Linked DNA regions of Stegostoma tigrinum. The protein of the gene in region 1 purifies or fractionates together with the protein of each later gene. This does not show direct contact. Links are inferred from orthologs where the notes say so. Each region holds a gene or a part of one and is shown on either strand. Other genes may lie near its edges. The genes, in order: dnaja2a, endog and wdr76.

What was found.
Region 2: the proteins of dnaja2a (region 1) and endog purify together in Homo sapiens (affinity purification with mass spectrometry; 3 studies listed by BioGRID and IntAct, with this or other methods). This does not show direct contact. The link is inferred for Stegostoma tigrinum from reciprocal best matches to the Homo sapiens genes DNAJA2 and ENDOG.
Region 3: the proteins of dnaja2a (region 1) and wdr76 purify together in Homo sapiens (affinity purification with mass spectrometry; 3 studies listed by BioGRID and IntAct, with this or other methods). This does not show direct contact. The link is inferred for Stegostoma tigrinum from reciprocal best matches to the Homo sapiens genes DNAJA2 and WDR76.

Annotation. Positions count from the first base shown.
Region 1 is NC_081369.1:30,468,390-30,472,139, forward strand, and holds the start of dnaja2a (dnaJ homolog subfamily A member 2a), read left to right. Parts: upstream 1-1,553; 5' UTR 1,554-1,619; coding exon 1,620-1,697; intron 1,698-3,750. UniProt on the Homo sapiens protein: Co-chaperone of Hsc70. Stimulates ATP hydrolysis and the folding of unfolded proteins mediated by HSPA1A/B (in vitro).
Region 2 is NC_081382.1:42,357,180-42,360,929, forward strand, and holds the start of endog (endonuclease G, mitochondrial), read left to right. Parts: upstream 1-996; 5' UTR 997-1,253; coding exon 1,254-1,754; intron 1,755-3,480; coding exon 3,481-3,590; intron 3,591-3,750. UniProt on the Homo sapiens protein: Endonuclease that preferentially catalyzes the cleavage of double-stranded 5-hydroxymethylcytosine (5hmC)-modified DNA.
Region 3 is NC_081386.1:34,103,868-34,107,617, forward strand, and holds the start of wdr76 (WD repeat-containing protein 76), read right to left. Parts: upstream 2,230-3,750; 5' UTR 2,024-2,229; coding exon 1,721-2,023; intron 477-1,720; coding exon 378-476; intron 1-377. UniProt on the Homo sapiens protein: Specifically binds 5-hydroxymethylcytosine (5hmC), suggesting that it acts as a specific reader of 5hmC.

The DNA.
Region 1 (3,750 bases):
ACACAGACTCAGGGACCAGTTTTTGGAGCATCTGCACTCTGAATGCATCAACCAAGTCGACCTTCCTGTTGCCATCCACGTTAATTCCCACTCCCAGTCCCCTTAGAGATATCCACCTTGGCTCTCTCCACTGTCAGAGAGAGGTCAAAAACCAAACTGGAGGGACAACACCTGATATTTCACCTTGGGAGCTTAAAGCCCAATGGCCTCAGCATTGAGATAATAAAGTGTAGAGCTGGATGAACACAGCAGGCCAAGCAGCATCTTAGGAGCACAAAAGCTGACATTTCCAGCCTAGACCCTACATCAGAAAAGGAGGATGGCGAGGGGGTTCTGAAATAGAGAGGGGGGAGGCAGATCGAAGATGGATAGAGGAGAAAAAGCAGACAAGTTAAAGGGGCAGGGATGGCACCTATAGAGTGGAATGTAGGTGGAGAGGTAGGGAGGGGATAGGACAGTCTGGGGAGGACGGGCAGGTCAAGGGGGCAGGATGAGGTTAGTAAGAAAGAAATGAAGGTGTGGTTTGAGGTGGGAGGAGGGGATAAGTGAGAGGAAGAACAGGTTGGGGGGGGGGGGGCAGGGACGAGCTGGGCTGGTTTTGGGATGCCGGGGGGGAGATTTTGAAGCTTGTGAAATCCACATTGATACTATTGGTTTGCAGGGTTCCCAGGTGGAATATGAGTTGCTGTTCCTGCAATCTTCAGGCAGCATCGTTGTAGCACTGCAGGAGGCCCAGGATGGACATGTCATCTCAGTATGCAAGAGGGAGTTGAAATGGTTCACAACTGGGAGGTGCAGTTATTGCACACCAAACATAGGTCACCGTGAGGCCTCAGCATTGACTTCACCACCTTCAAAGTCCATCTATCTCCCAGCCTTATCCCATGTCCTAGCCCTCCTCCTCACCTCCCTGACCTGACCATCTTCCTACTCACCTAAACACTTCACCCTTCACATTGACCAATCACTGTAACCCACTACCTGTCGTACTGGGGAAACAATGGCCTAGTAGTATTATTGCTGGACTGTTAATCCAGAGACCCAGATAATGGATCAGGGTTCAAGTCCCACCAGGGCAGTTGGTGGAACTTGACTTCAATAAAAAAAAAATTCTGGAATTAAGAGTCTAATGATGACCATGAATCCATTGCTGATAGTCAGGAAAAACACATCTGGAAACTGCCATCCTTACCTGGTCTGGCCTACACGTGACTCTAGACCACAGCAATGCGGTTGACTCTTGACCGCCTTCTAGGCAATTAGGAGTGGGCAATAAATACTGCCTAACCAGCGATACCCTCATTCTGTGAATGAATTTTTTTAAAAATTCCACCTGCCACCCTCTCCCCACCCCAGTCTCGAACGAAGGGTTTCAGTTCACACATTCGCCTTTGCTGCCTCTCAGACACTACCGGACCTGCTGCGCTTTTGAAGCATCACACCAATAGACCCTGACTTCTAGCGTCTGTGGCGTAACGTCTCCAGGCCCCGCCCCCTCCCCCGCTTTGCCGCGCGGCGGTGACGTCAGCGCGCTCTATGTGAGGCCAGGGTCAGACGTCACTTCCGGAGCCTGCCAGCTTGCGGCCGGTGCTCGAGCTTCTTCCTCCCTCTCTGTCACGATGGCGTCGGTAGTGGACACAAAGCTTTACGACATCCTCGGAGTTAGCTCCGGAGCTACGGAAAACGAACTCAAAAAGGTGAGTCACGGCCCGCCGGTGACACGCACGAATCGAGATGGAAAACAATACTCTCCTCCTTAGCCAGTGCCTTTCGGCAAAATTTTAAGGAAACAGCGCACAGCCTGAAGCCTGACCGGCTAGGCCGCTGCCTGGATTGTTGGTGTGTTGTGGGTAGACGAAGTGGAGTTGGGGGAGAAACCGAAGTTCAGCGAATTTAACAGGAATGAACCAAGGATCTGGCCGTTTTCGGTGTGGTTGCTATCAGCAGAGCGGGGCCGCCTCACCTGCCGCCCTTTTGAGGGATTGGAGAGGTGGTTGGGGGGGTTGGGTCAGCGAGCCGTGAAGGAGGTGGGGCGGGGGGGTGGTCTGGGTGTTGGTATTGCCGGCGCTGCTGTCACCGGCGTCCGCTAGCGTTTCCCCTCCCCTTCCGAGCAGTAGCACGCCTGGGATTCGGAAACACCCGGTGGCGCTTCATTGACCGCGACACCATTTTGTGTTACTGCAACCACCATTCCCCCCGACCGGGGGCCTATCTTTGACCGCTACCGCAGCGCCTGGGACATTAGTGAGGCCTTTCAGGAGGGAAGTGATGGTGACGGCGGAAGTGTTTGAAATGTTGCTGATAAAATTAGCCGGGCTGTGATCTAGAAAGGCTCTGGTTAATGTCTTCCGTCGCGACCGGAGAGCTCAAGTGCAAGTAAGTTGTATTTCTGCGAGGTGAATCATAGATACAAAGTGGATCAAACCGAGCAGACCAGTATTTGAAGTCGCACTTTCGTTTGTTGTGTAAATATGTCATTATGTTCTTGAATGATTTGAAAGACATCATAATATTGCTCCAAGCGATGATCGGTAATTTTCGTTACTGTTAGCTGAGGGAGTTTAGGAAACTACGCGCATATTGATCTGTCTGGGACAAAAACAGAAATTGCTGAAGAAACTCAGGCCCAGCGGCATGTGTGGCGCGAATGGCGAGTTAAAGTTTGGGATCCAGTGAGCTTTTCTTCACCCTGTCGACTTTCTTCAGCAATTTGTTTTTGTTTCGGATATACAGCATTCGCCGTTCTTATAGTTTGGATCTGTCTCCATATCGTTTGGAAACGTGGAATTGCAGGTATTAGCTTTCTTGCGTTCTGAACTGAGATGTTTTGAGTATATTTCGTACCTTGCTCTTGAAAGAAAGAAAAACCTACCTTGGGCATCCTTTAATCATTTAGTGTCCTATGCAGAATTGGTATTTAGAATCATGGAATCCCTACACTGTGGAAGTCAGCCATTTAGCCCATCAAGACCACGCCAACCCTCCAAATAGCATCCCGCCCAGACTGATCTCCCTACCTGTAACCCTGCATATCGCATGGCTAACCTACTTCACCTGCACACCCCTGGGCTTAATGGGCAATTTAGCATGGCCAATCTACCTAGTTTGCATATCTTTGAACTGTGGGGTGAAACCAGAGCCCCTGGAGGAAACCCCACAGACATGGGGAGAATGTGCAAACTCCATACAGTCACCCAAGGGTAGAATTGAACCTGGATCCCTGGTGCTGTAAGGCTGCCATACTAAGTGCTGAGCTACTGTGCTATATATTTCAAAGTAACAAAAGGGCAATTGAACATTAGGTCATGGCAGTTTGTTACCTTAAGTAATGACAGCTGAATGTTGCCCTGAAAATTTGAGGCTGCTCTTGTGCTGACCTAACTAATTCATGGAAATGTCAAATTAATTGTGAAACGATTTATTCAATTTTGTTTTGGTGGGCGGGTGTGGGGATTTGGCAAGAGCTACTGCTTACTACTTTGAGACTTTGACTGGCCTAGTCTAAGGAGCTGCTCTTGTGGTCTCCATGGCCATTAAGTCGCATTGCTGTCAGTTATCTTGTAAAAATTTGTTTTTGTGCAAAGCCCCGGAGTCTGGGACTGTTACGGTATACTAAAGCTTGTAGCGCTGGAAGGGTTTGAAACAAAGCAAAAGGAGAGATTTGCATGCTGTACATTTAAATTTAGTTCAACATATTTGTGAATGCATTTCATTGTTTGTCTCTATTTTTAAAAAGAGAGGATGGAATAA
Region 2 (3,750 bases), on another chromosome or scaffold:
TTAGCTTGGAGACCAGTGGTGTTCTGCAGGGATCTGTCCTGGAACCCCTGTTCTTTGTGATCTTTATAAATGACTTGGATGAGGAGGTGGAAGGATGGGTTAGTAAGTTTGCCAATGACATGAAGGTTGGTGGAGTTGTGGACTGGCTGTTGTAGGTTACATTGGGACATTTATAGGATGCAGAGCTGGGCAAAGAAGTAACAGATGGAATTCAATCTGGAAAAGTGTGAAGTGATTCATTTTGGAAGGTCAAATTTGAATGGAGAATACAGGGTTAATGGCAGGATTCTCGGAGCAGGAACAGAGGGATCTTGGGGTCCATGTCCATAGATCCCTCAAAGTTGCTACCAAGTTGATAGGGTTGTAAAGAAGGCGAATGGCGTGTTGGCTTTCATTGGCGGGGGAATTGAGTTTAAGAGCCGTGAGGTTATGCTGCAGGTCTATAAAACCCTGGTTAGTCCACACATAGATTGTTGTGTTCAGTTCTGGTTGCCTAATTATAGGAAGGATGTGGAAGCTTTAGAGGGGGTGCAGAGGAGATTTACCAGGATGTTGCCTGGATGGGAGGGCAGGTCTTATGAGGAAAGATTGAGTGAGTTAGGGCTTTTTTCATTGGAGCGACGAAGGATGAGAGGTGGCTTGATCGAAGTGTACAAGATGATGACAGGCATAGATAGAGTGGATAGTCAGAGACTTTTCCCCGGGCAAAAATGAGTATTACAAGGGGGCATAATTTTAAGGAGATTGGAGGAAGGTATAGATAGGGATGTCAGAGATAGGTTCTTCATACAGAGAGTGGTGCGTGTGTGGAGTGCACTGCCGGCAGTGGTAGTGGAGTCAGGTACACGAGGGACATGTAAGCGACTCTTGGGCAGGCACCTGGATGGTAGTAAAATGTAAGGTATGCAGGTTTGTAGAGTAGGATAGCAGGTCGGCACAACATTGTGGGCTGAAGTGCCTGTACTGCTAGTCGGTTCTGAGGAAGGGTGACCGCACTCGAAGTGTTATCTCTGTTTTCTGCTGCTGAGCTTTTCCAGCAACATTTTTTGTTTGTGGGCCTGCCCTGCTGCATGTTTCTAAATGTTTTGGCATCTGCTTTCCAGCATTCACGGGTTATTTCTGCCTTTGAGCTGAGGGTGGCTGGTGCACGTTAGCCCCAGCCCTGGTTACATTTTGGGCGCAACTTGTGGCGACAAAGTAACAAAGTTCCAGTTGATACACGGGGCGGTTTCAATTTCCCCCTCGGCTCTGACATGCGGAGGCTGCTGAGCTCCCGCTGGCTGCTGGCCGGAGTCTCCTTGGCCGCTGGCACTGGCCTGGGCCTGACCCTCGGGATCCACCGGAACCGAGTGGATCCGCTCAGCGGCTTCCCGGTGATCCCGGGCTTGGCGGCCGAGAGCGGACCCCCGGCGCTGTCAGGTTCGGCAGCGGCGCCGGAGGTCGTTAAGTTCGGCTTCCCGGCGGTGTCCCAGCTCCGGAGCCGGGAGTCCTACGTGTTGGCCTACGACCCCCGGACCCGGAACGCCTCCTGGGTCCTGGAGCAGCTGGAGGCCGGGCGCCTGGCGCGGAAGGGCTCGGAGCGCGGGCGCTGCGAGTTCCGAGAGGACGACTCGGTTCACGAGTATCACCGGGCCCGCAACAGCGACTTCAAGGGCAGCGGCTTCGACCGGGGTCACCTCGCCGCCGCCGCTAACCACCGCCACAGCCAGAAGTGCATGGACGACACCTTCTACCTCAGCAACGTGGTGCCGCAGGTTTCCGTCTCTATATTTCAGGCCATTGTGCTGCCCCTGGAAAGTGCCCGGGTTCTGAACTAGTGACATGTGCCACTGGTAAATGGGGCAGGGAATAAAATCCGAAAGAACTGCGGATGCTGTAAATCAGGAACAACAACAAAGTTGCTGGAAAAGCTCAGCGGGTCTGGCAGCATCTGTGAAGGAAAAATAAGAGTTAACCTTTCGGGTCTGGTAACCCTTCCTTAGAACGTGTGTGGGAGAAGTCATAGAATCTCCACAGCGCAGAAACAGGCCTTTCGGCCCCACGAGTCCACACTGACCTTCAGAGCATCCCACCCAGACCCTGTTCCCACTACACCACTCATCCCTGAATAGTGCAGGCAGCCCACCCTAACCTGCACACTGTGGGGACATTTAACATGGCGAACCCAGCACATCTTTGGACTGTGGGAGGAAACCGGAGCACCCGGAGGAAACCCACGCAGACACGGGGAGAATGTGCAAACTCCACGCAGACAGTCGCTCGAGGCGGGAATCGAACCCAGGTCCCTGGTGCTGTGAAGCAGTGGTGCTAACCACTGGGCCACTGTGCCACCAAGCAGCGGAAAGATTTTGCAGGGCTGTGGGAAATTACCAGGGTGGATTCCAAAAAAAAACTGCTGATGCTGTGAATGAGAAATGAAAACAAATCCCCGGAAATTGCTGCAAAAGCTCAGCATATCTGGCAGCATCAGTGGAGGGAATGATTAATTGTCTTTTTTAAAATTTATTCATGGGATGAGGGCATCGCTGACAGGGTCAGCAGTTATTTCCCATTCCTAATTGCTGTAGAGAAGGTGGGAGCAAACTGCTGTTTTGAATCGCTGCAGTCCTTGGGGTGTAGGGATCCTTGCAATACTGTTAAGGAGGGAGTTCCAGGACTTTGACTCAGCAACACTTAAGGAACAGGCATCATATTTCCAGGTTAGGACGGTGACTGGCGTGCAGGAGAAGTGCACCTGTCTATCTGCAGCTCTTGTCCTTCTAGATAGAAGTGGTTGTGAGTTTGGACAATGCTGTTGGATGAGCCTTAGTAAGCTACTACTGTACATCTTGTGCTGACACTGTGCTTTGGTTGTGAGAGTTGAAGGTGGTGGATGGGGTACCAGTGTACTGGGCTGACTTGTCCTGGATGGTGTTGGGTTTCTTGAGTATTGCTGGAGCTTGACTCATCCAGGCAGTTGGGGAGTATTCCATCACACTCCCGACTTGTGCCTTGTGGACTGGATTTGGGGAGACAGGAGGGGAGTTACTCGCATCAGAATTTCCAGGTTCTGTTCTGTTTTTGTAGACAAAGTGTTTGTGTAGACGGCCCAGTTAAATTATTGATCAGTGGTAATGCTCCACCCCAGGATGTTAATAGTGCCATTAAATGTCAAGGGATGATGGTTAAATTCTCTCTTGCTGAAGATGGTCATTGTCTGGCATTTGTGTGGCACAAATGTTACTTGCCAGCCCCAACCTGGATATTATCCCAATGTCATTGGCATCATGTTATGATGTAATGAGAACCTGTCATTATACTACAAAGCAATGTATGTCTATAAATCATGTTTACTTCAGCATTAATTTGTACTTCTGAGGAAGTACAAAAAATGTTAACTCTGTTTTTATCTTCACTGATGCTGCCGGACATTCTGAGCTTTTCCAGCAGCTTTGTTTTTGTTCCTAATTTGTACTTATTGTGCTTTATTTTCACTTCTAGGATCCTAATTTAAATCAAAATGCCTGGAACAACTTGGAGAAATACTGTAGGAGCCTGACCAAGTACAACAAGAATGTGTATGTCTGCACTGGACCCCTATACTTGCCAAGGTATGACCCATCTATCTGTCAGGTTAAGTCAGAACCATCACTGAAACTCGGCATTAATTCAGAAAATTTCAACAAAAATCTTCATATGGCTTAGAGGTGAAGCTGTTTCTCTGGTCTCCACAGTCCCTGTGTCATTTCCTGGTCCACCCTGAGTTAGCCG
Region 3 (3,750 bases), on another chromosome or scaffold:
AAGGTTTCCTCATTCTGTCTTGCATTCTTTCATCAAGTACCTTGACGTCTCGGTTTATTGACATCCCTCCCACTGGAAACAGTTTTCCTTCATTTAGTCTACATCAGTCTTTGAGATGTGGTACACCACTATCCAGGACAGCAAACTGTCTGAAGCATTGCTCCAAATCCTAGAAAACCATTGGTCACCCAGGTGTGGTTTTGAGCAGTCATGCTGACTGAACCACTTCCTGAGAGACAATAAATCTTGTGTTTGATTGACTTAAATCATAAGCAGAACCAACTCAGCTCAACAGCCTGGTGATAAACAGCAATAATGAAACAGAGGATAGTGGCAGACGGTAGCTGGTCTTGAGCTGCTGCTGTCCATTAATTTACCTGCAGCATATTCAAAGATGCAAAGAACCGGGCATTTTCCTGAATGTTTTTCAGTCGCTTCTTCTCATACACTGACAGCTCCTCAGATTTTCGATGAAACTAAAACAAAAAACATAACATTGACAGGTACAAACTCCTCATTTGAATAGATTCCTGTGCACTCACTATCTCAACAATCTCGGTCCATCTGTTCAACAGCAACAACTCGGTGCCATTAGAGGGACAGTGGCAAGGAGTTGGAAAGCATGGTCCTCTCAGACAAAAGCAGTTGCTCTAAAGAGAAAGACAAAGATGCACTGCAGAAATACATTTGCACATCAATGAATTAACCTCTCAGTTTTCCCATTTATGGAAGCTGGTCAAACTTGGATCATCAGTTGTACACTTAAACAAGGCAAAGCAATTCACAATACGAAAACCCATAGTGTAATAGGAATAAAACAAAAGTCAGAAAGCTTAAAGACTTAAAAACAGAAATTGCTGGAGAAACTTGGCAGGTCTGGTGGCATATGTGGAGAGAAAGCACAGTTAATATTTCAGATCCAGGTACCCTTCTTCAGAAGTCAGATGCTGCCAGACCTGCCGAGTTTCTCCAGCTATTTGTTTTGGATTTCCAGCATCCCCTATTCTTTCAGTTTAAAGCCTTGTTTGATGTTACTCCAATTACCCCAAATAATGTAAAATCATAGAATCTAATGGCATAGGTGGTTATTTGGGACTTTGTACCTGAACAGACTCTTTGAATTATTAATTAGACTGAAGTAATTAGTTGAGTGATCAACTCTCAGGATATAAATAAGGAAGACTCGGCTCAGGTAGAGAAGCGGTTGTGTCTCTAGCTCTGTGTTAGAAAGTCCATAATAAAGCGCCATCTTCCCCAAACATGTTTCATAATAGGTTCGTACAGATTGCTTTAAAATATCTATAAACTATGGCACACTTTTCATTACAGATGGTTGGTTAATGGCAAACCACAGTGAAGCCCCTCTCCTCCCCACTGCTCTCACATGGACCGTGACCGCACTGCGCACAAACACTAAACATACAGGACCAGCACAGGTGGGAGCCTCCCGCTCGCTATCGGAGACAGAGTCCTGGGAGTCAACAAATCGTGACGACACGCAAAAATTATTGGTAAAATCTTATTAGATATTCGTCCCACTCATCATACTTGGACAATTAATTAATTGTCCAAGTACAAAAGTAACTTGCATTTGTATAAAAGGCCAGATGGACTTGGTTAAAGCTGTAGGTTGCTATTCAGTCTTAAAAAGTGGAGGTGAAAACACATATAGCTACAAGAGAGATGTTAAACTAACAGTTAACAACTTCTAATTTCTTACCGCCATAGGAAACTCATCGTCAGCGCTGAAGCCATCCGAGTCACTCTGCTCTGAGGTGCTCATGCCGGTCTCTGCAGGGCTTGTTGGCCCAGAAGAGGTGCCCTCCTCAGCGGCTGGCATTTGCTGCTGGTCAGGCCCGGCCGGGGTCATCGCCGTGTTTGATCGCCGGGGCGGGGGCTTCTTGTCCGGGTCCTCTCCTCCTCCGGGCCCGGGGAAGGCCGCTTCGAGCCGCCGCTTTCGGTTTCCCGAGGCCGCTGCTCGCGGCTGCTGCCCAAGTGCAGTGTCCTCAACCCTGGGCTTCATGGCCCGGAGGGAAATGCGGTCAATTTTCTGGTTTCAAATGGAAAAAAGTCGGCACCGAGCGGCCACTTCCGGGGGAGCTGTAACTTTTCAGTCCTTACATAAAATGTTACATAAATTGTTACATTTCCCGCGCTCCGCCTCCTGCTGCCGGAGATAGGACACTTTCACATCCGCCATCTTAGAAACCGCAATGCCTCCCGGGATACCTAGCTCACCTGAAAAGCGGCTGGAGAAGATTGAAACGACCAAACTCTGCAATTAACAGTGAAATAAAACAAAGAAGTGCGAATGAAGATCTGAAACAGAAACAAAACTTGTTTGAGAAACTCAGCAGGTGTGGCGGCATCTGTAGAGAGAAAGAGTTCGTGTTTCAAGTCCAGTGAGCCTTGTTTGGATCAGGCACGCACTGCCCCAAAAACCAATGGAAAGCAGGTTGTAAAGAAACTTTTACATAGAAATTACTTGATACGAAATAATTTGCACACTAGTTAAGAGAAAAAGGTAGTGAAACTTATCTGATAGCCCTTTTTAAGAGGCAGAACAAGGGATGATGTGAATCAGCTCCTTCTGTGCTTTTGTTGTTGTAGGATATTCTACATTGGTTGGGACAAATAAATCAATCCTCAACAACCCGTTTGTGTTCAATGTTTAAAATACAGTTGGGTAATGTTAGCTGTCACAAAGATAGCTAAAACTTCTAATTTTCAGAAAAACGTAATGTTATCATCCATTCTATTCAGTCTTGGTATTGAAGTGTAGTCACGAGTTATCTTTATTAAATTCATAAAGGGTTAATTTAGTTGTCTAAATCTGCGGTGCTTTGATTTGAGGATGATACTTACTCAAGGTTGCAGGTTTTTGTCATGAATCTTGGGTGAGACTGAGCAGGCCAATTCCGATGTTTGGGTGCAGAGCAAGATGTGCCACAGTAACAGAAGCACAGTTTCAGGATTTGCTCCCTTTTCTGTCATTCTCTGCCTTCAGTGTGTGTCATTTGGACTCACTTTCCTCTTAACATAAGTTGTAAAACTAGATGTAGGCCATTCAGCCCATTGGGTCCACTCCACAAATCAATGAAAACATGATTGTTCTGATAATCTTTACCTCCACTTTCTTGCCTTCTAGCCATAAATCTAGATGCCCCTAATGATTATAAAGCCGTCTCTCTCAGCCATGATCTATTTAGTGAAACATCTTCTACAGCACTGTGTGATAAAGAATTCCATTGATGCATTATCCTCCAAGAAAAAATCCTCATGTGCTAAATGGGCAATTCCTTACTCTCAAATCATGTGCTGTGTTCATAGAGTCCCTTATTAAGGGGAAACAGCCACTCAGCATCTAGTCTGTCATCTCCTAAGATTCTTGAGTTCCAATGAGGTATCCCCCTCAGTTTTCTACACCTAGTAAGTATAAGCCCAACCTACTTAACCTCTCCTCAAAATCCCTCTACCTGGCATCAAGTCGATTTTCTCCAGACAACCTCCACTGCTAGTATATCTTTCCTCAGATAAAAGACCCAAAACTGTTCACAGTATTCCAGCTATAGTCCAATGAGGTCAGAAATGGGGATGTTTGCTGGTGACCAAACACAAAAATTACACTTCTTTTCCCCTTTGAAATACAAATCACCATTACATTCACATTCCCTCTTCCCATTAGAAACTGGACGCTATCATTTTGAGATTCCCTTCCATGCTGAGCTTCCTCTAGTCTTTCACTTTTTT